5 linked regions of the Ovis aries genome follow. Each later gene encodes a partner of the first gene's protein in a complex. Links are inferred from orthologs where the notes say so. Each region holds a gene or a part of one and is shown in the gene's direction. Other genes may lie near its edges.

Region 1 (4,946 bases):
TACTAGTGGGATGGCAGGTATATGGCCTGAGTGCTAGTGCTGCCCCTGCCCACCCACCTGGTAGACATGACTGCCTGTTTCCCGTGGGGCATGGACATAGCTCAGAATCCGTCTCACCACAGCATTCCAAGAGTACAGAGCTTACACTTGAAGAGAAGCCAATTTCCACCCCTGTTCTAGTCCTTCTGTAAGATTTTTCTCTGTTTTGCCACACTGTCTTTTCATTTTAAACGTGGTTCATAGGTATCCACAGATTTCCAAGTGGTGCAGTGGTAAAGAATCCACCTGCCAGTGCAGGAGATATAAGAGATGGGTTTCGATCCCTGGGTCAGGAAGATTCCCTGGAGGAGGGCATGGCAACCCACTCCAGTATTCCTGCCTGGAAAATTCCACGAACAGAGAAGCCTGGCAGGCTACAGTGTATGGGGTTGCACAGCGTCGGACTCGATGGAGCAACACACACAACCCACATACACACACACATCACATCACACACATACACACCACACCACACATACATACCCACCCCACACATACCCACCCCACATACACACCATACCAGACACACACCCCATATACACCACACCACACACACATACCCACCCCACACACACACCACACCACCCCACACACACCCCCACCCCACACATACACCCCCCACATACACACCACACCACACACACACACCCACACCACACCCACATACACACATACCCACCACACACACACACCACACCACACCACACCCACCACACACCACACACACCCCCACCCCACACATACACCCCCACATACACACCACACCACACATACACCCCCACACCACACCCACATACACACACACCTCACACACACACCCACACCACACATACACACCCCACACCCCCCACATCACACACCCCCCCCACACACACCACACCACACATACCCCACACATACACACCACACATACACACCACACACACCCACACACACACACGCCCCCACACACATCCCACACCGCACCACAGACACACACCCACGCCCCCCACACATACCCCACATACACACCACACCCACACACACACACCCCACATACACACACACCCCACATACACACCACACCCACACACACCACACCCACACACCCACCCCACACATAGACACCCCACATACACACCACACCACAGACACCCTATACACATACCACACCCACATAAACACACACCCCACACACACACCACACCACACACACCCCACACATACACACCCCACACATACCCCACACCACACACACACACCACACCACACCCACACACCACACCACACCCACATACACCACACACACACACTCTCTCTCCTGACTGATCCAGACCCTCCTATGCTCCTCCAGCCACCAGGTGGGAGCAAGAGGTAGCAGGAGAGGGTGGAGTCCCATTTCGATACTGAGGCCCAGGGTGACTGGGTGCCCTGCCTGGTGCGCAGCACAGGATGGCATCATTTCAGGCCTTGTCCCCCTGCACTCCTCACCCTGGCATACTGGGCCTCTGATCTCTTCTGAATCATCCTGTCCTCCTATCTTCAGAGAGGGGCTCCCAGAGCACAGAGGCCATCTTTGTCTCCCAGGTCCCTGGGCGGCCTCCAGTCCCTGTGTCTGGCCCAGGCTGCTCCCTGTCGGAGAACAGAGTTGTGGGACAGGTTGTACCCTTCCCCACAGATTCCTGTCCATGCTAGAGGAGGAGATCTATGGGGCAAACTCTCCGATCTGGGAGTCAGGCTTCACCATGCCGCCCTCAGAGGGAACACAACTGGTGCCCCGGCCAGGTACGTGCGCAGCAGGCTGTCTGCTTGGCCTTCCTGGCTGAGCTCAGCGCCTCTGGGGGAGGAGGGGCTGCGACTGGTAGCAGGGGGGAAGTGCAGGAGGGCTCGACAGGAGTGGGAGAGCCAGGCTATCTTTGCGGGACACACCCTACCTTTGAGTTCCATCCCGATTGTTTCCTCTTTCGCTCTCTCAGCTACAGTCAGCGCTGCAGTTGTTCCCAGTGCCCCCATCTTCAGCCCCACCATGGGTGGGAGCAGCAACAGCTCCTTGAGCCTGGATTCTGGAGGCGCTGAGCCCATGCCAGGTGGGTACTTGACCCCTGACCTCCACCCCTCGTTTCCCCCACCCAGCCCTGGCCCGGTCTCTCTTGCTGTGCCTGGGAGACCTTGCCAACCCCCTCAGCAGGCGAGAAGAGGAAGCTCCCAGAGAACCTGACCCTGGAGGATGCCAAGCGGCTCCGTGTGATGGGTGACATCCCCATGGAGCTGGTTAATGAGGTCATGCTCACCATCACCGACCCCGCCGCCATGCTAGGGCCCGAGGTGGGCAGCCCAGCCTCCCAACCCATTGGGCGGGGGCTCACCCCCGCAGACCCTGGCTCATCACTCCCTGCTCTGGTTCCCAGACGAGCCTGCTGTCGGCCAACGCCGCCCGGGATGAGACTGCTCGCCTGGAAGAGCGCCGAGGCATCATTGAGTTCCACGTCATTGGCAACTCGCTCACACCCAAGGCCAATCGGCGGGTGTTGCTGTGGCTGGTGGGGCTACAGAACGTCTTCTCCCACCAGCTGCCGCGAATGCCCAAGGAGTACATTGCCCGCCTCGTCTTCGACCCGTAGGTCCCTGGGAGAGCCCAGGACACCCCCCACTGCTCCCTGGGCCTCTTCCTCCATCCCTGGGGAATTCTTGCTCCTTAGTTCCCAGCACTGTGTGCAGCTCAGGCCTCCGGGGTGGTGGGTTCCTGAGGAACATTCAGGGGACGGGTAAGGCCTGTGACCTGAGCTCTCTCCCCTCAGGAAGCACAAGACTCTGGCCTTGATCAAGGATGGGCGGGTCATTGGTGGGATTTGCTTCCGCATGTTTCCCACCCAGGGCTTCACGGAGATCGTCTTCTGTGCTGTCACCTCCAATGAGCAGGTCAAGGTGAGTCTGTGCTCGCCCCCAGTGTGGGTAGAGGTCAGGGAGCTCCTGGTCCCAGCTTCATCCCACCCCCTGCTTCCGAGTCTGGACCAGGTCAGAGCAGCACAGTAGTGACACAGCTGCCCCCAAGCCTTCTTTTAATGGCCCGACACTTCCTCACATCCCCACAAGGTGGCAGTTGTAATTTGATAACTGAATTAAGAAAACACCTGTCGACACAGGGTGCCCAAGAATCAGTAACACTTGTTTTCCGCTAGTTTTATGGAGATGCAACTGACATGTAGGACTGTGTAAGTTTAGGATGTACAGCCTGACGCTTCGACTTATATACATCATGAAACAACCACAGCGAACATCTATCATCTTATATAGGTACAAAATGAAAGGAGCAGAGAAAAAATGCTTTTTCCTTTGTGATGAGAACTCTGCAGATTTATAGTAACAGTTTTAAAGGGATCTGTGTTTCCTTCATCACAAGAGCATGTACATGCATCGGAGAGTTGATAATTTTTACAACAGTCCCGCTCTGGGTGGTCGTCCTGTCTTCTATCCTGTCACAACAGGCCGACTAGTAGGGTCCCCGGTTTGTCTTATCTGTTTTTTAAAATGGTGTGGCTACTTTATTTTTTATTTTTATTTTTTGGCTGCACTGTGAGGCTTGCCAGGTCTTAGTTCCCCAACTAGAATCAAACCCACACCCTTGGCAGTGAAAGCAAGGTATCCTAACCACTGGACCACCAGAAGATTCCATGATTGTCCCATTTTCCATAACTCAGATCTGCGTGGTGCCTCCGGTCCTAATGTTTGTGGATGACAGGGTGTCTCTTTGGGGTTCAGATGTCATGATGAGGGGGGCCCTTGTGATCCCCTCTCCCCTTTCCTCCAGTTCTGAGGCCCAGGGACTGGGAACCGTGGCCTGTGGACCACAGCTTCCCGGTTGGGTTTAGATCCAGGCTCTCCCTGCCATGGCTGGTCACCTGACCTGGACATATTTCCTGACATAGCTGAGTTTCAGTTTTTTCTTCTGTAAGATGGAGGTAATGATAGCTGTTTCATGGGTTAACTTGAGGATTGCTCTGTAAAGAACCAAGCGTCGCACCTGGCCTGGAGTAAGCGCTTAGAAACCCAGCATCCTTCGCTTTTCTGCCTATAAGCTCCCCTTCCTCTGCCGGTCGCCTTTCCTCCTGCCTGACTCGGATCCCCTGGCTGTCCCCACCTCCTTTCCAGTCGGCTCCGTCCTGTCCCCGCCCTCCTCTCCCCCCCTCCTGAGGCCGCTCTAGCTGTAGGCCCGCCTCCTCCCGCCTGATGAGCTCTGCCCCTCCCCTGCAGGGCTACGGCACTCACCTGATGAACCACCTGAAGGAGTATCACATCAAGCACAGCATCCTCTACTTCCTCACCTACGCCGACGAGTACGCCATCGGCTACTTCAAGAAGCAGGTGACTCTCACCTCTGTCTGCCCACTGACTGGGGCCCGGGGTCATTCTGTCTCGCCCCCGGTGCGGGTGGGCTTCATGTCCCCTGTTCCATCCAGCACCTGTAGGGAAGTCCTTCATGCCTGTCTTCCTCCCTCCTGCTGCTGCCCCAGGGAAGAGGCAGCTGGGAGAGCTGGGAAGTTCTCAGGGTGGGGCGCAGGGGGCGGGGGTGAATCCGGAAGGGCTGCCGGCCTGGAAATGTTCCAGGGACAAATTCAAGCTGGAAGAGCCTTGCTGATGGGTTGGTGGTAACTCTCCACTCCCTAGGGCTTCTCCAAGGACATCAAGGTGCCCAAGAGCCGCTACTTGGGCTACATCAAGGACTACGAGGGTGCGACACTGATGGAGTGTGAGCTGAACCCTCGAATCCCCTACACAGAGCTGTCCCACATCATCAAGAAGCAGAAGGAGGTGCGTATGCTCACGTGCGTGTCTCCATGGGGCTCTCGTGAACATGCGCTTGAGTGAACACGTGTGTGGGTATAGAGATGCGTATATACCTGCTGTGCACACATGAAGTGGGGCTGGCC
Region 2 (5,865 bases), on another chromosome or scaffold:
TCTGCATTTCTGTCCTAAACTGTTTTCATGTTGACTTCTGCTTTCTCATATTGACCTTTTACTTCAGTGACTGTTTGATCCCCTTCCAACAATGCTTCTCTGTGGCATCTCACACCCTTCCAACTTGAGCCTGCACACCTAGAGAAACCAACAAGAAAAACCACCACAATGATAAACCCCACACACAGCAACTAGAGTAGCCCCCACTCTGGGCAACTAAAGAAAGCCCACCAGCAACAAAGACCCAAGGCTGCCAAAAATAAAGAGCACAGTAACCTACTCCAGTATTCTTGCCTGGAGAATCCCAAAGACAGAGGAGACTGGCAGGTAGCAGTCCATAGGGTTGCAGAGTCGGACTTGACTGAAGTGGCTTAGCACACGTGTGCACACATGAACAAAAAAATTCCCCTCATGGCTTCCTTTGCACTATACCTTCTTGGTTTCTAACAAGTATCCCCTGACATACTTTCTTCTTTTTGTCTTTGGACTTCTTTTTTACTCTGCTATCCTTAAAGGTCCTCATTCACCTCCAGAGTTAACAAATATTTGCTTATTATGTAGCAGGATCTGTGCAGGCCCCAGGGATACAGGGATGAACAAACCAGAAGCTCACTGCATCTGTAGTACTTCCTTTTCTAATTTTTTAAAATTATTATTTATTTTTGGCTATGTTGGGTCTTCCAGGGAGTGGACTTTCTCTAGTTGTGGTGGTGGTGGGGGGTATTCTTCATTGAAAGCTGGACCCTTTAGAGTTGGAAGAACAAAAATTGGATTTCCAGAAGAATATTATGAAGTTATGTAGGAAACAAACAAGCATGTAGAAAGGAAACAAGATATATATATAGGAAGGAAATTCTTTCATAGAGGCCTACATCTGAGCCAACAGTTTCACATTCCTATTTTGAAGAAAAAGTTTAAAATATCATTTTATCAAAGACATTTTATTTTGACTAAACTTAATAATGCTAAGAAACAAATGTCTACACTGTAGAAATTAAAGAACCTGCAAGTATACTAGAGAAAATGCTAAATGGAAAAAAAAAAAAAAAAAAAACAAGAAGTATGATTTCCTCAAGATGTGACATCTAGGGTCGTACACCAAAATACAAAACTTTTAAGAAAACACTTCAAACAAGCCAGTTGCTGCCAGTGTACAACTGTATATGATTAACTAAAGTGCCTAAACTGATTTAAATTTTATCTCTTTTACTTTTGAGAAATTGCAACACTCTATTTATAACAGCCTCTTCTTCAAAAAGACGTTATGGCAAATTACTTTTTAAAAAATGCAATTTTTGTAAAGAACTTGCCACACGTTTGCTTCCCGGGAAAGAAGAGAAAATCAGTTTCTTAACATACTTTAACCCACTTTCCCCTACCTTATCAGAACCAATACATCACGGAAAACGTCTAAGTGGGAATCTTGTAATTTGGCTCATTGTACACTACGCCTCTCCACTACTCTGGATCTTATTTTTAGTTTCCAGCTTAGCTGTTAATTAGTAGTGGCTGTCACTTCTCTGTTTCATTCCCATAAACCCAGAAAAAGGGGTGGAGGACCATAGAGATCTTTGGTCCGAATAAAGTCTATTAGATATCATCAACAACTTTTTCCTCAGGACGATGCAGACCCAGGAAAACGGAGTTTTCCTTTCCCCACATCCCATTCCCGAGCCTGGACTTCGTCCTTCTTCCTTTCAATCTCAATTCGGGCTCCTCGCAAATGAACTGAACTGAACTGAACGTTAGCAAAGCAAGTTCTTTGAACGAAATCCAGCGCTCCGCTCCTTTGTCTCCAAACGTGGCTAAGCAGGCCTCAGCTGGCTGAGAGAAGGTAGTAGCAGCGATCCACCCTAGCCAGTACACCCACCCATCACAACCCGCCTCTGGTGCCGAAGCCCTGGCGCGTGCTCGGGTGTCTTCGGTACCGCGAGGCGCGCGCTCGCCCGGTCACTATCCCTGGGAAGGGGCGGGACCCCAGAGCGCGTGCCGGGACTGCGGCAGGCGGAAGCTGCTGGCGGAGAAGACGGGCGGTTCCCGCCGACAAGGGTGGGGGAAGGGCGGCTGCCACACCCGGAAGTTGGTCTGGAAGTGGGGTTGGGGGGGTAACGTGTGGGGGCGAGGCTTCCGGTAGCGCAAAGGGTATCGGGAGAGGCTTCCTGTAAAGCTTCGCTGGCTTCTGGAGGGACCACCGTTGCGGCGGCTTCGGCTTCCACGATCTGCGTTCGGGCTAAACGGTCACAGCAGACGCCGCTGCCGGTCTCCTTGTGCCTGGTTCTGTCCGTATTCGTTCCCAGGAGACCGCCTCGGTTCCGGCAGCGGCTGCGGCCGACATGTTGTGAGGCGGCGGCGCGGGTGTCTGAAGGATGGTTTGGCAGAGGCGGCGGCATCGGCTGCTGGCGGCGGCGGCGGCGGCGGCAGCAGCGGGGGCTCCGGTTCTGTAGAGCCTTGCCCGCTGAGTGTCCGCCCTGTTCCGCGGCCAGACCAGTGCCCCCGGACCTTGCCTCTGCTCCGCGCCGTTGGGGAACGGTTAGACGACAGCGCACGCCCCTCTGAGGAGACACGAAGGGGGTTTTCTAGTGCTCAGATTCCGGACCACCTTGCCTTCCCCTCTCCGACCTGGGCAGTGCTGTCCCCAAAATCCTCAACACCCCCCTATCCTCCAACTTTGCTCCCAATCTCGCCTTAAATCTTTCACACACACGGGTGTTCCCCTCTCTCTCCAGCCACCCCTGGCCCCTTAATTTTCTGCACGCTCATCTCAGAGGGACTCCTGGATCGCTCTCCGAGGGCGGCCTTTTGAAAAATCGTCGTGGACCAGAGTTAAAGGAGTTTTTAAAAGTCGGGGCGCGAGAGAGAAGGTGCGATGGCTTCCTCATCTGGCAACGATGATGATCTCACTATACCCAGAGCTGCTATCAATAAGATGATCAAAGAGACTCTCCCCAATGTCCGGGTGGCCAACGATGCCCGGGAGCTGGTGGTGAACTGCTGCACTGAATTCATTCACCTTATATCTTCTGAAGCCAATGAGATTTGCAACAAATCGGAAAAGAAAACCATCTCGCCAGAGCACGTCATACAAGGTAAGTGGTATTTGTGGGATTTTGTTTCAAAGAGGGGCCGGGGACATCCTGCTGGTCGCGTGACGCGTTCATGTCAAAGCCTTCAGTTCTGTCTCCTGGTTAGTATTGGTAACTGAAAAGCCATTGCGGGCAAGGAGGCAGCCGGTGCCTTCAGACCTCTGTGTAGTATTCTCGTGGTCCTTTCCAAATACCAAATGCAGGTGAGAGTTGCAGGCGATTAAGTCGGCTAACATCCCCCCGAAGAAAGTAGTAGTAGCGGTCTCAGCCTACAGCCAGGTAAACCTAAGCAACAAGAACTTTGCCTGCCTAAATTGAAACCTGGATCATGACAACTGAGAGAGGAAGCCAGAAGTTCTTGGAGAATTAGAATTCAGACAGGAAGTTCAAGCTTGAGTGGAGAGGGCACCCCTTTCCCACCCGACCTTTTTCACCAGTGTAGGAGACAAGATCAATTTACAGAACACGAGTAAAAATATTCTTAACGTAAATGTTCACAATTGTAAAGTTTATTAGTGTTGACTGGAGTATATTTTCTGCTTTAAAAATGGTTTCATGGTCCCTACCGTTCATCAACAAGTTGCCAAAGCACTCCAGTTCTATTCTGTAGGAAAGAAGCAGTCAGTGTTCTTTATCCTTCCTTCCTTTCTTCCTTCCATAGCTTGCATTGTGCCTTAGAGGTAGGTTTTTAAAGCTTGGGTTTAAAGACTGTGAGATTTTTTTTTTTCGTGGAACATTTCCCTTTTGTTTCCTTCTGTCGTCCCCTTTTAGATGTATACGCTTAAGCGTTTATTGAACACTTCTGAAAGTTTAACAGTTTCTCCTCTTGTATCTTGGAAAGGATTTAGTTCAGTTAATAGGGCTTTGGGGGACCATATTCTGATGGTTTGTTTCAGGAATGGGGAGACATTTACTAGTCATAATGTTTTGGGAAGCACTTTCTGTGACTGGTACATATAATCTTAGGGGAAGGTTGTGGTCAATTTTGAAGTGATAACTTGCCTTTTATAATAACCCAATTAAAATTCTAACAATTTCTGGATCGCTTTTGAAGTCAGAAAAAAAGATTAATTTTAATTTAATTTTGGTAGGCAGGCAGTTATCTACCATTTTATTGTTATAATTTAACTTTTTAAAAGGTGACTTTCCTGTTATACTGAAGTAGAGGACACATCTTCTCATATTCACCATATACAGTATTTTACAGGAATTATTGACAGAAGTATTTTGTCATTTCATTTTTGAAATGACTTCTGTAATTTCATTTTTGATTCTTATTGATACATAAAACATACTTTGACATTTCCATTTCAGTACATAAGGAGAAAAAGAAACCCCAAGGAAAAGGTATATTTGACTTTAAAGCTAGTCTTTTACTTGTTTAGAGTACTCTGGCAAGTAAAATGAAAGCCAAGTTGTCTATTTTTCCTCTTGTGTTTTTATTTTTACATTATATGTGCAGTTGTCACAAATCTTTCACAAGATTGTCCAACACAAATAGCTGTAATTTCCTTTTATAATTCATAAAAGAGAAAACAGATCTTTTATCAACATTGCCTTTCTAATGAAAATTGCAAAAGATTTCAAAAGGATCTGCTTAAACATTTGTTTACACCACGGAAGTGGGGATCTTTCCAAAAATCTAATAATGCCTTACAGTCTGTCTTCTTGGGTAGAGTTTATTCTTTTCTAGGATATATTTAGATTTCTGATTGACGTGATGGAAGAAAAGTACAGCTGTAGCTAGCAGTATGCTAGTTAAATAGCTCAACTTCGGAATATGCTAAATTCAGTTTAATGTATGAGTCAGAAAGTTCCAGTGAAAGCATTTTCCTTATGTACTGAGGATGATTTATTAATTAAAAAAAATAATGTATTGACCTGTTAGAGCTTTATAAAGTTACTTTTGTTTTCTTGTAATATTGCTGTTCTTAAGTGTTAGATAAGGATGTACATTTTAACCCCAAATTCTCCCGTTAGAGGGATAGACTTTATATATTTATAATCTCATATTGCTTAATCATTTAAAGAAATTTTTATCTTGAGTGATTAAAATTCTTTAAAAGAAATTCTTAAGGTGTGTATTTTTTTAGGTGTTTAAAGTGTAATTTTATAGACTGATTCTGGAAAGCTGATTATGACATTTTTTAATGCTGTTTTGTCAATTTGATTATTTAGGAATGTAAGATACATCCAAGTGGAATAATGTACATTTTAAAGTGATTTGATTCTCACATATTTAAGTTTGGATTTTTTTAGTAATAAGTTTAATGAACTAGACTTTGCTTCAGGACATTTCACTTGCCACTTTGCTTTGCCTTCTCAGAGCAAATTTTGAGGCAGTTTTGTAAAATGCAAGCTAAAGTTGAACAAATTTTATTGCCAGTAAATCTGAAATTGTATAACCTAGTTAAAATTTTTAAAAAATTTAATACAGATATTTTGCTTGAGTTTAAGAACATGGACTTGGCATGGAAGATAACATACACACAAATAGAGGGAGTTCTACACTTAAAAGATGTTTTTATTTTGTTTCTGGGTTTCTGTGAACACATTCTTAAATGAGTTCTAACATGTTCTGTTGCATTATGGAAAGAACTGACATTGAGTGTTAAGAACTGCAAAGTATACTGTGAAGGGTTTGGCCTTAGGCAAATCTGTTAACTAAGGTTTCCCCATTTATGTATAAATAATACTTAATGGTTTCAGGTATAATTAGCAATTACTGAGAATCAGTCAGAATTGAGAAACTTATGTGAAATATATGCTACAATTATAATTT
Region 3 (6,033 bases), on another chromosome or scaffold:
GCTCAGTTTCCTAAGGGCTTCTTTTCCTTTCCTTCAATTCCCAGCTTAAAACCCTTCTGTTTATAAACTTATGCACTGTCCCAAAGTTCTGTCAGTGCTGCCCAACAGGCATTATAACGAAAACCATATATGCAATCTTACATTTTCCAGTAGCCGCATTAAAAACATGAGAAACAGGTGAAATTATCATGTAATCAAAAGAAAAGTATTATGAATGAGATATTTTACATTCGTTTTTCACACTAAGCCTTTGAAACCCAGTGTGTATTTTACCTTTACGGCACATGTGAGTTTGGACTAGCCACCCCGTAAGTGCCCAGTGTGGCTGATGATGACCATACTGGATGGTGCAGGTCTAGGTACTCAGGGGCTGCTCCCTTCTCTGAACCCTTAGTCCGGCATACTAGTGGTTTCCAGCTTTTGTTTGGCACTTACCACAAGTAATTTCATAACACTTATCTGTCTTCCCCACAACACAGTTAAGGTCATCCAGCTTTTCAGACTCCACTCCCAAATACCTATCCGCCAAAATGTCTGGTGTTATGGAAAATTCAATTTATGCCTCTGATTAGATATTTCACATTTCAGGGTGTTTACACAAAGTACAAAAAATTCGACAGAACTCCTGTATTAGATAATATCCCCTTTTATTTGATTGAATGTAGTTTTACTCCCTCTAGCGATAATCAGTACTTAATTAATGAAATAAACTTTAATTGTTAAACTATACGCTAAGAGTTTTTAACAAGGGAGTGCATTGTAAAACACATGAAAAGAAATCAATTAGGCCCATAATTCAGTTTTTTGGCATCAGAAAAATTAATAAATCTAAGTTTTGGTAACCTATGTGCAAACTGTATTTGCCTCATCTTTCTCAAAGAGTCATGAAAGCTGTATGATTTTTAAAAATTAACTATGCCAGTAGAAACGGATTTATTAACCTCTGGCAGCAGTTTTAATGCCTTACCCATTCCCCAGGTGCAGCCCATTTCATCGTCCTGACTACTAGTATTTCCCTTTCTTTCAGCGGTATCCATTTCTTCTTCATCTGAGTCTTCTCCCAGCATCTTCTTTTCCAACATCATTTGTTGCTGCTTGCGCAGTTCCTTCAGTTGCGTTACTGTCAACTCGGATTCTGCCTCTCGATCCTCCTCTGGTCCCTGATGAATCAAGCGAAAGAATTCTTTTAGAGTTCAGGATGGCTGAAGTCACTTTCAGAAGGCGTAAAGACGTCTGGAGATGAGGAGCCAGATTCCCGCACTTTCATAAAGGACAATCTCTTTTATCAGGGAAAACTTAAGGAGCTCAGGAACGCACCCGACTGGGCTCCAGAGATTTCAATTCTAAGGTTTTCTACTTACCTGAAGAAGAAAGAGCCGGGTGCTGCCTCCAAAGCGAAGAACATGTCCGACGTGGACCCGACAATAGGTGCGGGGTGGGATACGGGTTTTGTTGAGAAAAGTGCCATGGGTGCTTCCCAAATCGTAGAGATAGAAGCCAGGCCCGTGGCCGTCACCTTCTGCATCGAGGCCGGACACCCTGTGCTGCAGCACGGCATGGTAGCGAGACACCGAAGGATGCTCCAGGCACACGTCGCAGCTAGGGAGCCTCCCGAAAAGGCAGCAACTCAGTCCTTTCAAGTTGCGGGTGCCCAGGATGGTGCCGCCTTTTAGTGTCTCGAGGCTGTAGGGGGCCGTGGTGGGGCCGCCCCACGGCGGCTCTCGGTAAGGGGGAGCCCGGGACGGGCCGCCAGGGGAAGGAGCCGCCGTGTGGGGCCGCGGCTGCTCCTCCGCTGGACCCCTAGTCTCCCTGCTGTCTGGCAGGGCCGGCGGGACATCCGGCTCCCCGGAATCAGAGTCCGGCAGCGCCGTGGGCCTTTCCTTCACCTCCTCCGGGTTTGGAGGATTGTTGGCCGGGGCCTTACTCCGCGCCGCCGGGGACATCGGCAGGGCTGGCTTCTTGAAGTCGTCATCGAGTTCCGGCGAAGCCAGCGGCTCGGACTGAGAGGCACTATCAGCCATCCTCAATCAGGAGCAGCCTCAAAATCTGTCCCTGGGAAACCTCACCCTCCTCGGGTCTCTACATTCCTCTCCACGTCTCCCTCTCTCCAGCCTCCAGACGCTTCTCTAGCAGCGATAGTGGAGTTGATCCCTTACGACCCAGAGCTTTGTGAAGAAGCGAGTTATCCCTGGAAGTTGTAGTAAGAGGAAAACAAGAAAAAGGCGGTCGGGGTACTGTCAGAATGGGGACATCTTTAGAGGTTGCAACCGAGTCGTAATGACTTCCTGCAGCGGAGCCTGATTGAGAAGACGCGCTTCCGGCAGCCTTGAACCACTGGTCAACACACCAGCCTTCCGGACCTGATAGGACCCTTATCTCAGGCCTCTCGGAGCCCATCAGCCGCCCAGTTCAGTGCCTGCGAAGTGGCAGTCCATAGTGGAGCCTCCTTGCCTCGGTCCAGGTCCACATCTCCCTGTGTGTGGGCTGCCCCAGCCTTAGACGACCCCAGGACACTGTGATTGGCGCCCGAGTCCGCTGATGGTGAGGGAGGAGCCCTGATGGGGATGTGGGCATTGCTTGTGCTTGATGCCTGTCCTTCCTGCTCCTTTGGGTCAAGTTAGTGGAGAGGGCGATTTTTGTTGTCACTTGGTTCATTCATGTATTCTTTCCTTCTTTTATTCTTTCTGAAACCAGTTGAGGTAGCGTAGTGTAGTTGTTAAGAGTGCAGACCCTGGATCCAGACCATCTCGATCTTCCCTCTCAGCTGTTTCCGACATTAGGCAAGACAGAAGGCCTCAGCTTCCACGTCTGAAAAGTGGGGTAATAATAGTATCTACCTCTTTTTTTTTTTTTTATGACATCTACTTATAGAAAGGTTGGGAGAATTGAATTAACAGTAGAGGCAAAGCCTGGCATGTAGTAGGCACTCAAATCTTAGACACCAAGATTGCAGCTGTGAGAGACAGATGGAAGAATAAAATTGAAACAAGTACTAGTTTAAATACAGGGATAAATGCTGTGATGGAGACATACAAAGTGCTGTGAGACTTAACAAGGGGAGATGTGTTGGGGAGGTGATAGAGGGTGGTGACTTAAATCATGCTTAAGGATGAATACAAGTCTGCCAGGGATGTGGCAGGTAGCAAGGCATTACCTGCAGAGATCACGTCATTAAGCTGTGGAAATGCATGGCATTCGCAACCAGAGAAGTCTGATACGGTTGGAACTAAGATGGTCACTTTCTTCAGGAAGTTCCTCCTTTGTGTTTTCTCACCGAACTTGGTCTGTGTCTCTGGAACAGCACTGACCACACACTTTAATGTTGAAACATTCTTTTCGTGTTTTTCTCCCTCACCTCAGGGTAAGGACCTTGAATTAGTCTTTATCTCCTCACATGACACTTGGCATTTGATAAATATTTATTGAATTTGAAGAGACATATGGCCAATAAGTCTGGAAAGGTGAGTTGAAGCTGGATTGTAATTGGTGTTGAATGGTAAATCAAAAAACATTGACGTTTTTCCAGTAGTCAATGGGAAGTCATTAGGTCTAAGCTTAAAATATTAAATCTAGCCTCACTACAGGCTTCCCTGGTAGCTCAGCTGTGGTAAAGAATCTGCCTGCAGTGCAGGAGACAAGGGTTCGATTCCTGGGTTGGGAAGATCCCCTGGCCAAGGGATAGGGTACTCCAGTATTCTTGAGCTTCCCTAGTGGCTCAGTTGGTAAAGAATTTGCCTGCAGTGTGGGAGACCTGGGTTCAATCCCTGGGTTGGGAAGATCCCGTGGAGGAGGGCATAGCAACCCACTCCAGTATTGTTGCCTGGAAAATCCCAAGGACAGAGGAGCCTGGCAGGCTGCAGTCCATGGGGTCACAAACAATTGGACATGACTGAGCAATTAAGCACAGCACAGCATCACTGTAGAGAGTAGATTTGATACAAGGAGAGACTAAAGGAAGGGGTATTATTTAAGAGATAGCAGATATCTGAGATTCTTCCCTATGAACGTCAGAAGTTGAATGCATAAGGCCATTTAGGATAGTGGTTCATAAAATTTTCCACCAGGATTAGTTAAAGGTTCCCATGCTTGGCACATATGCATGCATGCTACGTCACTTCAGTAGTGTCTGACTCTTTGAGACCCTTTGGACTCTAGCCCCTCAGTTTCTTCTGTCCATGGGATTCTTCAGGCAAGAATACTGGAGTGGGTTGCCATTTCCTTCTCCAGGGGATCTTCCTGACCCAGGAATTGAGCCCATGTCTCCTACTCCTGCATTGGCAGGCAGTTTCTTTACCACTAGTCCACCTGGGAAGCATTCACAGATTAGTAACCACATCAGGAATTCCCTGGCAGTCCAGTGGTTAGGACTTGGCACTAAGATCCCACAGGCTACACGGCACAGCGGAAAAAAAAAAAGAAGAAGAACCTTTTCCTATCTTTAACTCTACTCCTTTTTCTCCTGTGGATCCAGGAAAGATGTGTCAAGATACTCTGAGAAATATTCCAGGTCTCATTTAAGTGTCTTGCCTTGCAAATCACTCAGGATTGGTAATAAGTTAGTGGGGTGAGTTGGAAAATATGGACCCCGTAGCCTAATATACTCTTGCAGCTATTAGTCTACTAAAGACCCAAACTCTACCTTGTGGTTCAGTCCAGTAGGAATTGTCACAGTGTATGACTGTGGTATTAACAGTTATATTTCTCTTAATTTCTTCAGGAAGAACGTCCTTGGTCCAACAGTGTTGCTGACACTGACTTTTTCTAAGTGGTCTTGAACTGCCTAGTTTTTATGTCAATACCTGGCTAGACCTCGTATTCCTCACTACAGAAGCCCTTAACCTGCAGTTGCTGGAGATTTTAAAACGTTGCCTTTAGGATACCATCCACATTTAACTTGGGAGCTCTTCCTTTGTGATTCCAAAATGTTGAGATACTGGGGAGAGATACCAATCTCATCAAGCCAGACCAACAGAAGTTCTTTTGACTTGCTCCCTCGGGAGTTCCGACTGGTAGAAGTCCATGACCCGCCTCTGCACCAACCCTCAGCCAACAAGCCCAAGCCCCCCACTATGCTGGACATCCCCTCAGAGCCCTGCAGCCTCACCATCCACACCATTCAGCTGATCCAGCACAACCGACGTCTGCGTAACCTCATTGCCACAGCACAGGCCCAGAATCAGCAACAGACAGAAGGTGTAAAGACTGAAGAGAGTGAACCTCTTCCGTCCTGCCCTGGGTCACCTCCTCTTCCTGATGATCTCCTTCCTTTAGATTGTAAGAATCCCAGTGCACCGTTCCAGGTCCGGCACAGTGACCCAGAGAGTGACTTTTATCGGTAAGACAAGGCTTTGCTATATGTTACTTTTCTCTAAAAATCTTCCCAACAACCTTGTTAAGCATGTCACCACTTTTCCAGGAGGAAACTGAAGATGAGAGTAAATGACTGGGCCAAAGTTGCTCAGGTAATTAGTGGAAAGTCTGAAGAGTTGAACCATGTTCTTCCAAATCCAGAGTCTGTATTTTTTTATTTTCTGATGTAACAAATATTTATTGAGTACCTAATATATGCCAAGCACTTTACTAGGAGCAAAGTTCTACACTGGTTTGTAAAATAGGCCATGGTCTCATAGTCCTCCAAATCTAGTTTTTCTTGTTAATTAAAAGATATACTGTGGGTTTAGCTCATTGTCCTCAAGATGAGATTTATGGACTTATTCTCTTACCATTAGAAATCCACGAGTTCTATACAAGAATTTTTAAATGGTGTATTTTCATTTTGATAACACAGTTCAAGAAGTTATAGTATAACAGTGTTCCTGATCCTTGCTGCTCAAAATCTGATCTGAGATCAGCAACATCAACATCACCTGGGAGGTTGTTAGAAATGCAGAGTGTCAGACTCACCCAGACCTCCTGAGTCAGAATTTTCATTTTAACAAGATCTCCAGAGATTCATACGTAAATTTCAATTTGAGAAGCCCAGGTCCAAATCCTCCGAGTGATCACCTTAAAAGCTAGTGCTACTCCTGGATT
Region 4 (5,990 bases), on another chromosome or scaffold:
TTCCATCTAAAAAAAGTACTCTGGTAAAACAACAACAAAAAAAAGCTTACCAAAGTTGTATGATCTTAAACCATCTCATTTTGGGTGAACAGTCAATTTAAAGTTACAGTCCTATCAGAACTTTCCCCTCCTCACTCTTGACATCCCAAGATGGCCTGTGGGACCAAAAGGAAGCTTTGAGGCAGTGACCAGAGGAGTCTTAGGTCTGTGCAGAGCTGTGAGCTATAGCCTAGGTCCTCACTGGCCTTCGCAGCCATGTCCCTAGTCATACCTGGTCACCAGGGCCTGGTATCAGCTGCTGAGGTTGTTGACTGTCAACTCGTAATTTGTTGCTTTAGTACCTTGAGACTCTGACGTCTCACCTTCCCATCCCTGCTCCTCTCATCAGCTGACTGGGAGCACTTCAGCTCTTGTTGGGGTTTTCAGCTTTGCCCATCCTTGGGGTCTTAGCCACATTCTCCAGCCATTACCTGCATGGTTCTCATGCTACTTTCTTCTTGCCTGGCAGAAGGCATAAGAGAAGTCTGGGTTTCCAGCACACCATCTGCAAATTGTAGACATGCAGCAGCCTGGAGAATCCCAGGGACGGGGGAGCCTGGTGGGCTGCCGTCTATGGGGTCACACGGAGTTGGACATGACTGAAGCAACTTACCTGCAGCAGCAGCACCATTTCAGATTGTTTGTTCTCCTTAACGCCACTGTCTTTTCCTAAGCCCTGATCAATTTGAGACTTCTGCCAGAACTGGGCAGCCTTCCAACCTGGGCCAGAGACAGTGGGCTTCAAGATTCCTTCACACTTAGCTGGATATTTCTAATCCCCTGCCTCAGGGTTAGATCCCCAAAGTAGGAGAATACAGATATATCCATGCTGACCACTTATCCTACCTCTTTCTCTGCGAAATTTATTTTTATCTCCCCATTCCTATTCTCTTTTTGGGTTTTAGCATAAGTCTAAGTGAGTTCTTTCCTGGCTTTTCAGATTAGATTGACTGTCAGTCTCACAAGGGCAGAAACTGTTTTGTTCATTTCTGATCCACAGTATCTAACATAGTGCTAGGCACATAGTGCCAGGACATAGAATAGAAACACACATAAAAATTGCTAAACAAATATTGCTTTCTTTTAAAAGATATTTATTTATTTGGCTGCACCAGGTCTTAGTTGTGGTACACAAACTCTTAGTTGTAGCAGGTGGGATCTAGCTCCCTGACCAGGGATGGAACCCAGGCCCCCAGCATTGGGAGTCTGGAGTCTTAGCCACTGGACCACAAGAGAAGTCTTGAACAAATATTTTTAATCTGCCATTACCCTAAATAGACATTAAGATCAGGAGGCCAACAATGACATTTTATAAATCCCTGTATTCCCTTATCATGCAGTGCTTTGGAGTAAGTTTCTGGCCCCACTATTCATTTATTCAACAAATACATTTTGACTGCATACTATGTGCAATGCACTGGGCTTGCTATTGACAATATAGGAGTAAATCCTTTAAAACGTTTTTACTAAACATCAAACACATTCAAAAAATTGATAACATGTATGTAAAGTGAAAAAAAATGTAAAGGGTAAAATTTTACCCTTTAAACCTTGGTCATTTCAATGGTAAATCTTTACCTAGTGAAGAAAACAGATTGAAGGGGGACAGAAATAGATCCCTGGAGACCAGATGTGAGGCTATAGCAGACTTGGGCAGATAGATGTGGGATTTGCTGTACCGGGGCACAGGGAGAAGGAAAAGGAAGGCTGAGCTCAAGAGATATTTAGGTGGAAAACAGTACCTGATGGACTGTTACTCACTAGTTGCATGACCTAGATAAGATCCAACCTTTCTGAGCCTTCGTTCCTGCATCTGTAAAACAGGTTAGTAATAACTATAGTTATTTGTATCCCTAACACCTAGTATAAAGCTTGGTATATGATTAAACACACGAAAATCATAGCTACTGTTTTCTTTGCTGTGGAAGCTTCATAAATGCCGGCAGAATATTTTCTTGGGGCTGCAACTTGTTACCTTCCTCTAAGGAGAAAACTATATATGATGGTGCCTTCACCAGAATAGACGCCCATTCTCCCCAGGAAGCAGGGCAGTGCAGGTCACGGTGAGAGTCTGGCACAGTCTCAGCCCCGGCCCGGCCCCGGCCCCGGCTCCGCCCACAACCTTGCGAGCTCTGTCCCCCCGCCCACAACCTCTCGAGCTCCGCCCCCGGAACCTCGCGCGTCGCCGCCGCCGCCGCGGCGCGCGCCCCGCCCCGTCCCTGGTGCTGACGTCCGGGCCAAACGGGCCGGGCGGGCTCCGCCGTGCCGTGTGCTTCCGCGGGCTCCGGGGTCGCTGGGGCCTCGTGGTGGGGCGGCTCTGCGGGGCTCGGCCCGCTTCCTCCCCTCCCCCGTGCCCTCTCGCGGCACCCGGCGGTGTCTGCGCTTCAGCCGGAGACCCAGAAAGAGGGTAAGTGTTGGCGGGAGCGAGATGGGACCGCCGGGCGCGCGCTCCGCTCTCCCGGGCATTGTCTGGGCGGGGGCGGCGCGGGCACGTGCGCGCCCCTCCCCCACCCCGCCTGAGGCGCCGGCCCCCTGGCTGAGGGGAGGGAGGGGACGAGTGACTGTGGAGCCGAGAGGCCCCGGAGGAGGAAACTGGGTCCAGGGTGAGTGTGTGTGGCTGGGGAGTCTCCGCAGCGGGAACCCGGAATTTGGGTGTGAGGGGTGTTCTTTCTAAGGGGCACCGCGCTTTCTGAGAGGATATGGGTTCCCTGGGCCCCAGTGGCGGGAGCTTTTAGGATGTTAAACCTGGTGGCCTGCAGTGGGATTGGAGACAAAATTTGGTCCCAGCACCGGCAAGTTGTGAATTTATCAGCAAGAATCCTGGAATCTCCCTTCAACCTGTCGCCTTCCCTATCGTTCGTCTCCGCCGTGAAGGATGAGTAGGATTTAGAAAGGTGGAGGATATTCCAGGAATGGTGCCCGCGTTAAAGCATCAGAGCTGTGAGACAGTGCCGGGTTGGAGTGAAAAGCTTGGGAAAATGAGTACTTGGGAAAAGAAAGGCTGGTTTGGTGGGTTGTGGCCAGATTGCAGAAGACAGGTTTATCTCATAACCTTTTTTTTTAATGAGTGTAATTATGTTAAAAAAAAAAAAGTGGAAGAAAATACTACCAGTAAATCTACAACCCTGACTTCTCATTCTTAGAATTTTGATGTTTGCTTGTATTTTCTTCTAAGCTTGTAACTGTTACTGAGTTTTAACTACCATTTTGCATTCCCTTTTTTTATTTACATGTTAAAATGCAATGTAATGTTATGTACTATTCAGCAATATAATTTACTTTCTTAATGAGCAAGGAGCAGGCATTCATAGAAAAATTTTAAAAATACGGGAAAGAAAAATGAGGAAAGGTACCATAGTTTTATTGTGTAGAGCTATTATCATTGAGTATATTTTCGGTTGTGGATGTTCTTTGAAAGATGGGAGCAGGTGAAGCTGTTCTTAGGAATTTCACTTTTATGAGAATTCTTTGAAGGTTTTAAGAAGGAAAGCATAATCTGACTGCTGTGCAGAGGAAGAGAGCAAGAGAGGAAGCTGGAAGGTTGGGTAGTTTACAGTACTTTGGACTAGGTCCATGGTTTGGAGATGGAGGAGAGTAGAAAGATTAACAGTTATTTTGGAGGTAGAATGAACAAGACTTGGAAATGAATTGGTGGGGGAAAGGGAGAACTCTGCTTTTTGATACTTGTTTTGAGCAACTTTGAGTAGATGGCAGCGTTCACTGAGAAGAATGGAAGAGAGCAGTTTGAGATGGAAGAAATCATGAGTTCTGTTTTGGGTGTATTACATTTGAAATGTATTTTAGATATGAAGTCAGTATATTGAGGCAGTTGGATGTACAGGTTTGGAGCTTCCAGAACAGAGCCTAGAGTTGGAGATAAAAATTTGAGAGTACTCAGTATATAGATGATATTCAAAGTTATGAGACCACCTGGGAGCACTTCATGGCAAATAGATGGGGAAACAGTGGCAGACTTTATTTTTTGGGGCTCCAGAATCCCTGCAGATGGTGATTGCAGCCATGAAATTAAAAGACGCTTACTCCTTGGAAGGAAATTATGACCAACCTAGACAGCATATTAAAAAGCAGAGACTACTTGGCCAACAAAGTCCGTCTGTCAAGGCTATGGTTTTTCCAGCAGTTCTGTGAGAGTTGGACTGTCAAGAAAGCTGAGTGCTGAAGAACTGATGCTTTTGAACTGTGGTGTTGGAGAAGACTCTTGAGAGTCCCTTGGACTGCAAGGAGATCCATCCAGTCCATCCTAAAGGAGATCAGTCCTGAGTGTTCATTGAAGGATTGATGTTGAAGCCGAGACTCCATTACTTTGGCCACCTGATGCGAAGAACTGACTCATTTGAAAAGACCCTGATGGTGGGAAAGATTGAAGGCGGGAGGAGAAGGGGACAACAGGATGAGACGGTTGAATGGCATCACCGACTCGCTGGACATGAGTTTGAGTAAACTCCGAGAGTTGGTGAAGGACAGGGAGGCCTGGCGTGCTGCAGTCCATCGGGTCGCAAAGAGTCAGATACGACTGAGCAACTGAACTGAGAGCACTTAGGTAAAAACTATATAGAAAAGTGAATAATAGAGTGAGACTCAGGCATTCTAATGCTTGAAGATCTTATAGAGGAAGAAGATTGAGCGCAGGACGGAAGAACAGCCAGTGAGGTAGGAGAAAAAGCAGGAAACTAGTATCATGGGAGCCATGAGAAATAGGTTTCTGGTCCACGGAGTCTTGGCTCCTCAGTGCTTCTGAGATGTTTAATGAGGTGCTCACTTGGATTTGGCAACACAGAGGTTATTAGTTTGGTCATTGGCGTTACTAACCAGACTGGAAGTTGGAGGTGGAAACATATGGAAGTAATTGAACGGGAGTGAGGAAGAGAAGACAATGAGTGTGAATTAGGAGCAAGTGTCCCTTGTTCAACATACCTTATTTTCATCTCTCCCCAAACTAAATTTGATAGTTGAAAATGGTGTTTTGTTTCATGTTTCATTCCTTTATACTAGTATGTTTGAACATTTTTCACTTTTATTGGCCATTTGTGAATTTCTGTTCCTGTCCTCTGTGCATCTTTTTATTTGTGCTTGTCACTTTCTGATTGATTTTCTGATTATCAGGAGCTCGCTAGATTCTAAATATATGTAGCCTGATGGAGAGCTTACAGAATTGTCCCCCTAATGTGTCCTCCCCCAGAATAAATGAGTTTATTATCTGTAGTCCATCAGGAAGAACATAGTTAATAATGGAAAAACCATACTTGACCATTTAACTTTTACATATACATTTTAAAAATTGTAGTAAAATACACATAACATAAAATTTACCACCATAACCATTTCTCACTGGTGTTAAATACATTCATACCATTGTGCAGCCATTACCACCATCAATCTCCACAGCTCTTTTCATCTTGTAAAACTGAAACTGTACCCACTAAACAATAACTTCTCATTTCCCCCTTACCCCCAGCCTATGGCCATTCAGCTTTCTGTCTCTGTGTTATTGACTACTCTAAATACCTCATATAAGTGGAATCAAACAGTATTTGTCTTTTTGTGACAGGTTTATTTTACTTCACATAATGTCCTGAAGGTTCGTCCATGTTGTAGCTTATGTCTGGATTTCATTCCTTTTTAAGGCTAGATAATATTCCAGTATCTGTATATTTTTTCTTATTGTTCAGTTGCTCAGTCGTGTCTGACTCTGAGACCCCACGAACTGTAGCCTGACAGGCTCCTATGTCCATGGGATTATCCCAGCAAGAATACTGCAGTAGGTTGCCATTTCCTACTCTAGGGAATCTTTCTGACCCAGGGATCAAACCCTCTCTCTTGCGTCTCCTGTATTGGTAGGTGGATTCTTTACCACTGTGCCACCTGGGAAGCCCCCTGACTATCTCCTAGTTTGCTGAAATTCTTGTCAGTTGAGTCCTTGATACTATCTG
Region 5 (5,781 bases), on another chromosome or scaffold:
AAAGATGAGCAGTATCTTATTAAAGATGGTATTCTTATACAAATCAAGTTCCCAAATGTGTTTCATACCAGTGTCCTGAATATTGGGGGAATAAAAGAAAGACCTCACATCTAGATGAAAACAAATGATCTGGAATTGGTTGCTAATATGTTACCAAACAGAAACTAGTTACCTCATTAGAATGATTCTCTAACAAGAGAACCAAAGGCAGAGAAAATATGCTAACATCGCAAAGAATCCTGAATTTAGGTTAAATATGAGGATGAGTGGCTTGAATGAGAAGGTTGCTTAAATTTGGGATTAGATATTGTGAGATCTTTCTATCTGACATCTCTAGACATAGGCTGGATTATAAACTGTATATCTTGCTGTGAACAGGGACCAGACAAGACTACTGAAGACCCTATCAAGCCTGATGCTCTTTGAAAATGAAAGCCTAATTAAGAGCCTCCCTAGGGAGAAGGCAGGGTTTCCCTTGTAGCTCAGTTGGTAAAGAATCTGCCTGCAGTGCAAGAGACCGGGGTTCAATCCCTGGGTTGGGAAGATCCCTTGGAGAAGGAAATGGCAACCCACTCCAGTATTCTTGGCCTGGAAAATCTCATGTACAGGGGAGCCTGGTGGGCTGCAGTTCATGGGGTCGCAAAGAGTCGGGCATGACTGAGCGATTAACACTTACTTAGGGAGAAGGCAATGGCACCCCACTGCAGTACTCTTGCCTGAAAAATCCCATGGACGGAGGAACCTGGTGGGATGCAATCCATGGGGTCGGGAAGAGTCGGACACGACTGAGCAACTTCACTTTCACTTTTCACTTTCATGCATTGGAGAAGGAAATGGCAACAGCACTTCAGTGCTCTTGCCTGTAGAATCCCAGGGACGGGGGAGCCTGGTGGGCTGCCGTCCATGGGGTCACACAGATTCGGACACGACTGAAGCGATTTAGCAGCAGCAGCAGCAGGGACAGGTCAAAGGCTTTTTAAAAACCCCTATTGCTCTTAATCCCAGTTCCTTGGTGCCTTATTCCTTTCCTTTCATTCAGACTACTCTAAAACTGAAGAATACACTTTGTGCAAGTTTCCATCTCTGCTTCTTCTAAAGGCATTAGATTATTAGAACATTAAATCCTTCCTCCCTTATCTCTATACTGACAATGTTTATTGTTCAAGCGTAACAGATTTTAACACTAAAAACTTTCTAAACTTTTTTCTTCAATTGCACAGGACAGACTTTTAATGTTAGACTTTGTAATACTACAAACTAAGCATCTTTTAACAAAGTTATCTGATAAGTAACATTTTGTCAATTTTCAATTTGGATTTGTATATTCTGATTTCAGAGATTGTGTTGCATGCGATTGCTTACTCGGGTTAAATTCCTGTTGGGATCATCTTGACAGTGTTTCCCTTTATTGAAATAGTTTTAGGATGAGTGTCTCTATCCTATTACCCAGAGAAAAACAACTGATTCATCAGTTTTAAAACTTGACAGAATTACTTTGCAGATCTAACATTCCCTTGATAATAAATGAGGCATAAACATTTTTGTTTTATATCTTCTTCCTCTAATGAAAAATTAGTGATGTTAATTTGAATATTGGTGAAAATATTCTATCCAGTTATGACAATTCTATGTGGAAAAGTTCTCAATATTTACAAACAATCGTTGGCAGCGCTGCATCCCTGACGAGCGATCTTTCTCCAGGCCACTCCACAGGGCCATGTTAAAATTTTAACTTTTAATATGGGACTAAATCACTAACATTTAACTATAAAAGTTTTCTCTAGCAATACTCATCATTAACATCTGGGTCAAGGTAGACTTCACGAAGCTAACCCTCTTTGGCTACCAATTCCAATCTCCAGTGGAAATACTGTGGCCAGCCTCACGTAGGTCGGCAATCATCCGCTCGCGGTCCTCAGCGGAACCTGATTGGGGCAGATGCTTGTCAGTCACACAGAGGGTCCTCAAAGCCTTGGTCTAAAAGAGACGCAGTGTTTTGACATCATCGCGGAGCGACAGAGGCGATGGAGGGAGGGGTGGGTTGTGAGCGCACTTTGGTGCTGGCTGGGGCAGCCTCAGAAAGTGTCATGGCTGCAGCCGCTGAGCTTAGTCGCCCTACGATCGGTGACAGGAGCCTGGAGCGGAGCTGCAGCCCCAGCCTCTCCCGAGAGATAGTCTGCGAAGTCTTCCGCTCCTTGCATAACCTGGCTGGACAAGTGAGTGATGCTCTGTGGAGTAGGGGTCTGGGAACAGGCCTGCCCCTCCTCCCATTTTCCCTTGCGCGGAGGCAGGGGCCACCGGAGGCCTGCAGGGTGTGGGAGCCGGCTGGAGCAGCAGAGGCCGGGGGAGGAGCGTGGGCCGGGTACCCTGTGGGCTGAATGAGGATGGCCGCGCGGGTTATATCCTGACCGGTGACAGGCTAGGTTTGCAGCTCTTCTCACCATGAGTGAATGAGGCTAGTGTAAGTGAAAACGCGGCTCGGTAAGAAACTGGCTTGGAGAGATTGGATACGGAAGAGCTTCTCTGATGGTTTGGGAGGCGCCTGGAGCCTCAGGATCGTTTTTCCTCCAGTTCATTCATTGTAGAAATTGATAGGTTCGTAGGGCCTGAGATTTCTGGAATAGCGCTCTCTCCGCCTCTTTAGGGTGATTTGCTCTTATGAGTCACTTGCTTTTGTTTACTTTTTTCCTTCTGGCCGTAGCTTGCATCTCTTCCCCTTTAAAACAAGGCGGAAGAGAAAAAGAATTAACCTAAACTGTTTGTAGCATAAAGTTGGCTGAGTTACCTTTGGTCAATACAGCTTGCATCACAATTTGTTTAACTCGTAATTCAACTATTTATTAGTTTAACTGGCTGGTAAATAGCTTTTGTCGAAATGTCATAATAAAATGGAGCTTAAATAAAGGTACTGCTTGCACTGAAAGCACTGTTTACTGATGTAAATGCAAAGCAAATTTTAAATGAGAAACAGCTTGAAAATATGTTTATCTGCTTTCAAAAAGAAATGTTTTAAAAAAAATCTTGGACTTAGGCGTTTGCGTTGAACATAACGGTAACTTCCTTTATGAAAATAGAGTGTTTGTGAAAATTATTTTTAAAAGCCTTGGGTAGATGGTGAATCAGTCTTTTAAAAGGTTATTTCAGTATTTAAAAAAATTTCAATGTTTGTCCTGACTTACAGAGAGCATTGGTCTTAGTTAAACATTCATTTTGGAGTAATGGGATGATTATTAATAGAGTCAGCTAAAAGTTGTAACTTTTAAACTCATTAGTTTGTCAAGGACTTAGAACTTTTATTTATGTATTTTTTAAGACTTAGGGTAATTATTTCAGTCTGAAGACTCAAGATCTGTAAATGGTTTAAAAGTTGGAGAACTTTCTATGGCGTGGACATTGGAACTTCTTTTTTTAATCCTAATATCAAGATTTAAAAAGTTTATATGCACCTAAAGTTTACAAAAGTACCCCCCCACCACTGATGAGATACTTTTTAAAAACGTTAATTTAAACCTATCTTTTGAAATAGTTTGCATACTGAATTTTTAAAACTCATTTAAAAATTTTAAACATTCTGTAGGTAAAAATAGTGCTGTGGTTAAAATTTACTTATGTCACCTGTCAAAAATATCTAGAGAGTAAATATTTGGTTAGTTTTCATGACAGAGTAAAGGGGCCATAAATAAGACTAAATAAGATTGTCAAAAAGTAAGATTATCTCATCAATTAAATGCTAGCCAATTTGGTGATACTCTTTATATTTTGAGATGTACTGTTAAAGATACTGAAAGCCAGAATACTATACTTATAAAATTGTTCCTGGTGGAAATAACTATTTCCCTTTGAAACAAGATTAAGAAATTTAAAAAAATCTATGTTGTAAAATGCCTAGTTCCTTCTATATAGTATCATTGTGTTATTAGCTCTCCTCAATAGGAAACATAGAATCAGATGTTAAAATTTTCCTAGCCCAGATTTTGAATTTATTGAATACTGATTTTGCCTCTGGTTGCTGCATTTTACCAAGCTGAAGAAATATTTATTGTTAACTTGGATTTTTATATTAGTGTAATAAAGTTTTTACTGAAATGTGTATTTTAAATAGTTCATATTAATGACAGACTAATACCTTTTTGACTGAATGGTTTACAAGTTCTATAGGTAAAAATGCACAGAATTCATATATTACTAATAGGGAATTTGTTGAATAATAGTTGGATGTATTGGGGATAGTTTTAAAGTTAATTTGTGGCATTGTTATGTGGTTTCTTCAAAGACCAAGTATCTTGCACTTGAAAGTTTATATAATTCTGCTAAATTGAAATGAGAATATAATCCAGACATTCAATTTAATTTCTATAAGTTATTTTCTAGAAAATTTGATGCTTTGCTTTGGTTGAGGATTTGCCTGCGTTATCCCCAAACTGTATTTGTAAGTTTGTTATAATCAATTATAGATTCCTTTAGAACTGTAAAAGTATAGTGATGGGTTACTTCCATGCATAAGCTGTTGAAACATTTATAAGCACTAAAAAATAGAAATTAAGATTAATATGATTTTCTTAATATAAAATAACAAACTAATTTAGTTAAAATAACAAACTAATTTTTGCCAGTGCATCCTACACAAAACTTCTTTACACTTGTCTAATATGGACTTTAAATATTTCTGGTCAAAGGGTGGTAAATTTCTGTCATACAGCATTCATACATATAGTGCCTTTTGGGGAACTTTGGATCTCTTTGGTACAGTGATTCATTTTTTTTGTTTTATTATAATCACAGTTCATAAGATCTTAACTAATAGAACACTTGTCCTTATTTTGTAGAAAACATGACTAATTTTAAATAAATGATTTCTGAAAAAATAAGAGTTAACTTGATCCTGTGATGCAGGATATATGCCATAACACACGTGTCCCTAAAAATGTTTACAGTGATTCACTTTTATTCACTTGAAATACTAAAAATGGAGGCTTTCCCTCTGAAATGTTGACTCATCTTGGTATTAATTTTATATTCAGGTTTGTGGTAGTTTTCTATGTATAACTTTATCGTAATAGGCCATACATAGCCAATTTAGGAGAAATTTTCATGAACTCTTACATTGTACTAGAAAATACTGTTTAGCAGTGAGTCTGACCTTTCCATCCAGTCTTTGGCTGTTTATTTCACTATTGTGGAAAAACATTTGTTTTTAAATTTCAGATTTCCACAGCTAAATAATAGTTTAATTTTTATTTGAAGTAAACATATGCTGCCATGTAGCTGCAGACTTTATAATATATATGAATATGAATATATGAGTTGATTTTTAAATTTAAAAAATTGGTTAAAATTGAAAACAATGAAAATGTGATTCGGAAGACATCAGAGGAATGATATATTTGTTACATATTTATGTGCATATTTAACAAAAACAAATGCAGAAATTATGAAATCAGAACTTTCATAAATGTACCTCCCCCTGTATTTAATGTTCTTAGCTAGAAGCAGTAGGATTTTGAATAGGGCAAGCATTTGTTGGCCCCTATCCAAAAGTTTTCAGATACTGAATTATTAAAAAAAAAAAAAAAAGCCTCATCTTTTCATCTTTCCTGGATAGTTTTACCTGTGAGATGGTCCCATTACACAGACCCAAGAAAAGAATTAGAGATGTCATCTGCTTTTTTCTGAGAACTGGACCTTTCTTGCCTTTTTGGAGTGGTAACTAGGTAGAGCACTTTTATGTATCATTAAAAACTTGAGAACTTTGATCTAAATGGCATGTTATTCTATAGAAAT

What was found.
Region 2: KAT2A (region 1) and DR1 share a complex: the UniProt entries of both Homo sapiens proteins name them as parts of the ADA2A-containing complex. The link is inferred for Ovis aries from reciprocal best matches to the Homo sapiens genes KAT2A and DR1.
Region 3: KAT2A (region 1) and SUPT7L share a complex: the UniProt entries of both Homo sapiens proteins name them as parts of the STAGA transcription coactivator-HAT complex. The link is inferred for Ovis aries from reciprocal best matches to the Homo sapiens genes KAT2A and SUPT7L.
Region 4: KAT2A (region 1) and YEATS2 share a complex: the UniProt entries of both Homo sapiens proteins name them as parts of the ADA2A-containing complex. The link is inferred for Ovis aries from reciprocal best matches to the Homo sapiens genes KAT2A and YEATS2.
Region 5: KAT2A (region 1) and MBIP share a complex: the UniProt entries of both Homo sapiens proteins name them as parts of the ADA2A-containing complex. The link is inferred for Ovis aries from reciprocal best matches to the Homo sapiens genes KAT2A and MBIP.

What each region holds. Positions count from the first base shown.
Region 1 is NC_056064.1:41,980,271-41,985,216, reverse strand, and holds part of KAT2A (histone acetyltransferase KAT2A), read left to right. Parts: intron 1-1,696; coding exon 1,697-1,803; intron 1,804-1,994; coding exon 1,995-2,105; intron 2,106-2,203; coding exon 2,204-2,343; intron 2,344-2,426; coding exon 2,427-2,635; intron 2,636-2,816; coding exon 2,817-2,943; intron 2,944-4,269; coding exon 4,270-4,380; intron 4,381-4,683; coding exon 4,684-4,827; intron 4,828-4,946. UniProt on the Homo sapiens protein: Protein lysine acyltransferase that can act as a acetyltransferase, glutaryltransferase, succinyltransferase or malonyltransferase, depending on the context.
Region 2 is NC_056054.1:70,553,726-70,559,590, forward strand, and holds the start of DR1 (protein Dr1), read left to right. Parts: upstream 1-2,135; 5' UTR 2,136-2,866; coding exon 2,867-3,086; intron 3,087-5,865. UniProt on the Homo sapiens protein: The association of the DR1/DRAP1 heterodimer with TBP results in a functional repression of both activated and basal transcription of class II genes.
Region 3 is NC_056056.1:34,683,577-34,689,609, reverse strand, and holds the start of SUPT7L (STAGA complex 65 subunit gamma), read left to right. Parts: upstream 1-2,303; 5' UTR 2,304-2,541; intron 2,542-3,360; 5' UTR 3,361-3,461; intron 3,462-4,717; 5' UTR 4,718-4,922; coding exon 4,923-5,335; intron 5,336-6,033. Other genes in the region: SLC4A1AP (kanadaptin), read right to left, coding at 968-1,160, 1,362-2,021.
Region 4 is NC_056054.1:204,211,539-204,217,528, reverse strand, and holds the start of YEATS2 (YEATS domain-containing protein 2), read left to right. Parts: upstream 1-2,260; 5' UTR 2,261-2,446; intron 2,447-2,588; exon of another isoform or gene 2,589-2,642; intron 2,643-5,990. UniProt on the Homo sapiens protein: Chromatin reader component of the ATAC complex, a complex with histone acetyltransferase activity on histones H3 and H4. YEATS2 specifically recognizes and binds histone H3 crotonylated at 'Lys-27' (H3K27cr).
Region 5 is NC_056071.1:44,239,032-44,244,812, reverse strand, and holds the start of MBIP (MAP3K12-binding inhibitory protein 1), read left to right. Parts: upstream 1-2,051; 5' UTR 2,052-2,087; coding exon 2,088-2,216; exon of another isoform or gene 2,217-2,716; intron 2,717-5,781. UniProt on the Homo sapiens protein: Inhibits the MAP3K12 activity to induce the activation of the JNK/SAPK pathway. Component of the ATAC complex, a complex with histone acetyltransferase activity on histones H3 and H4.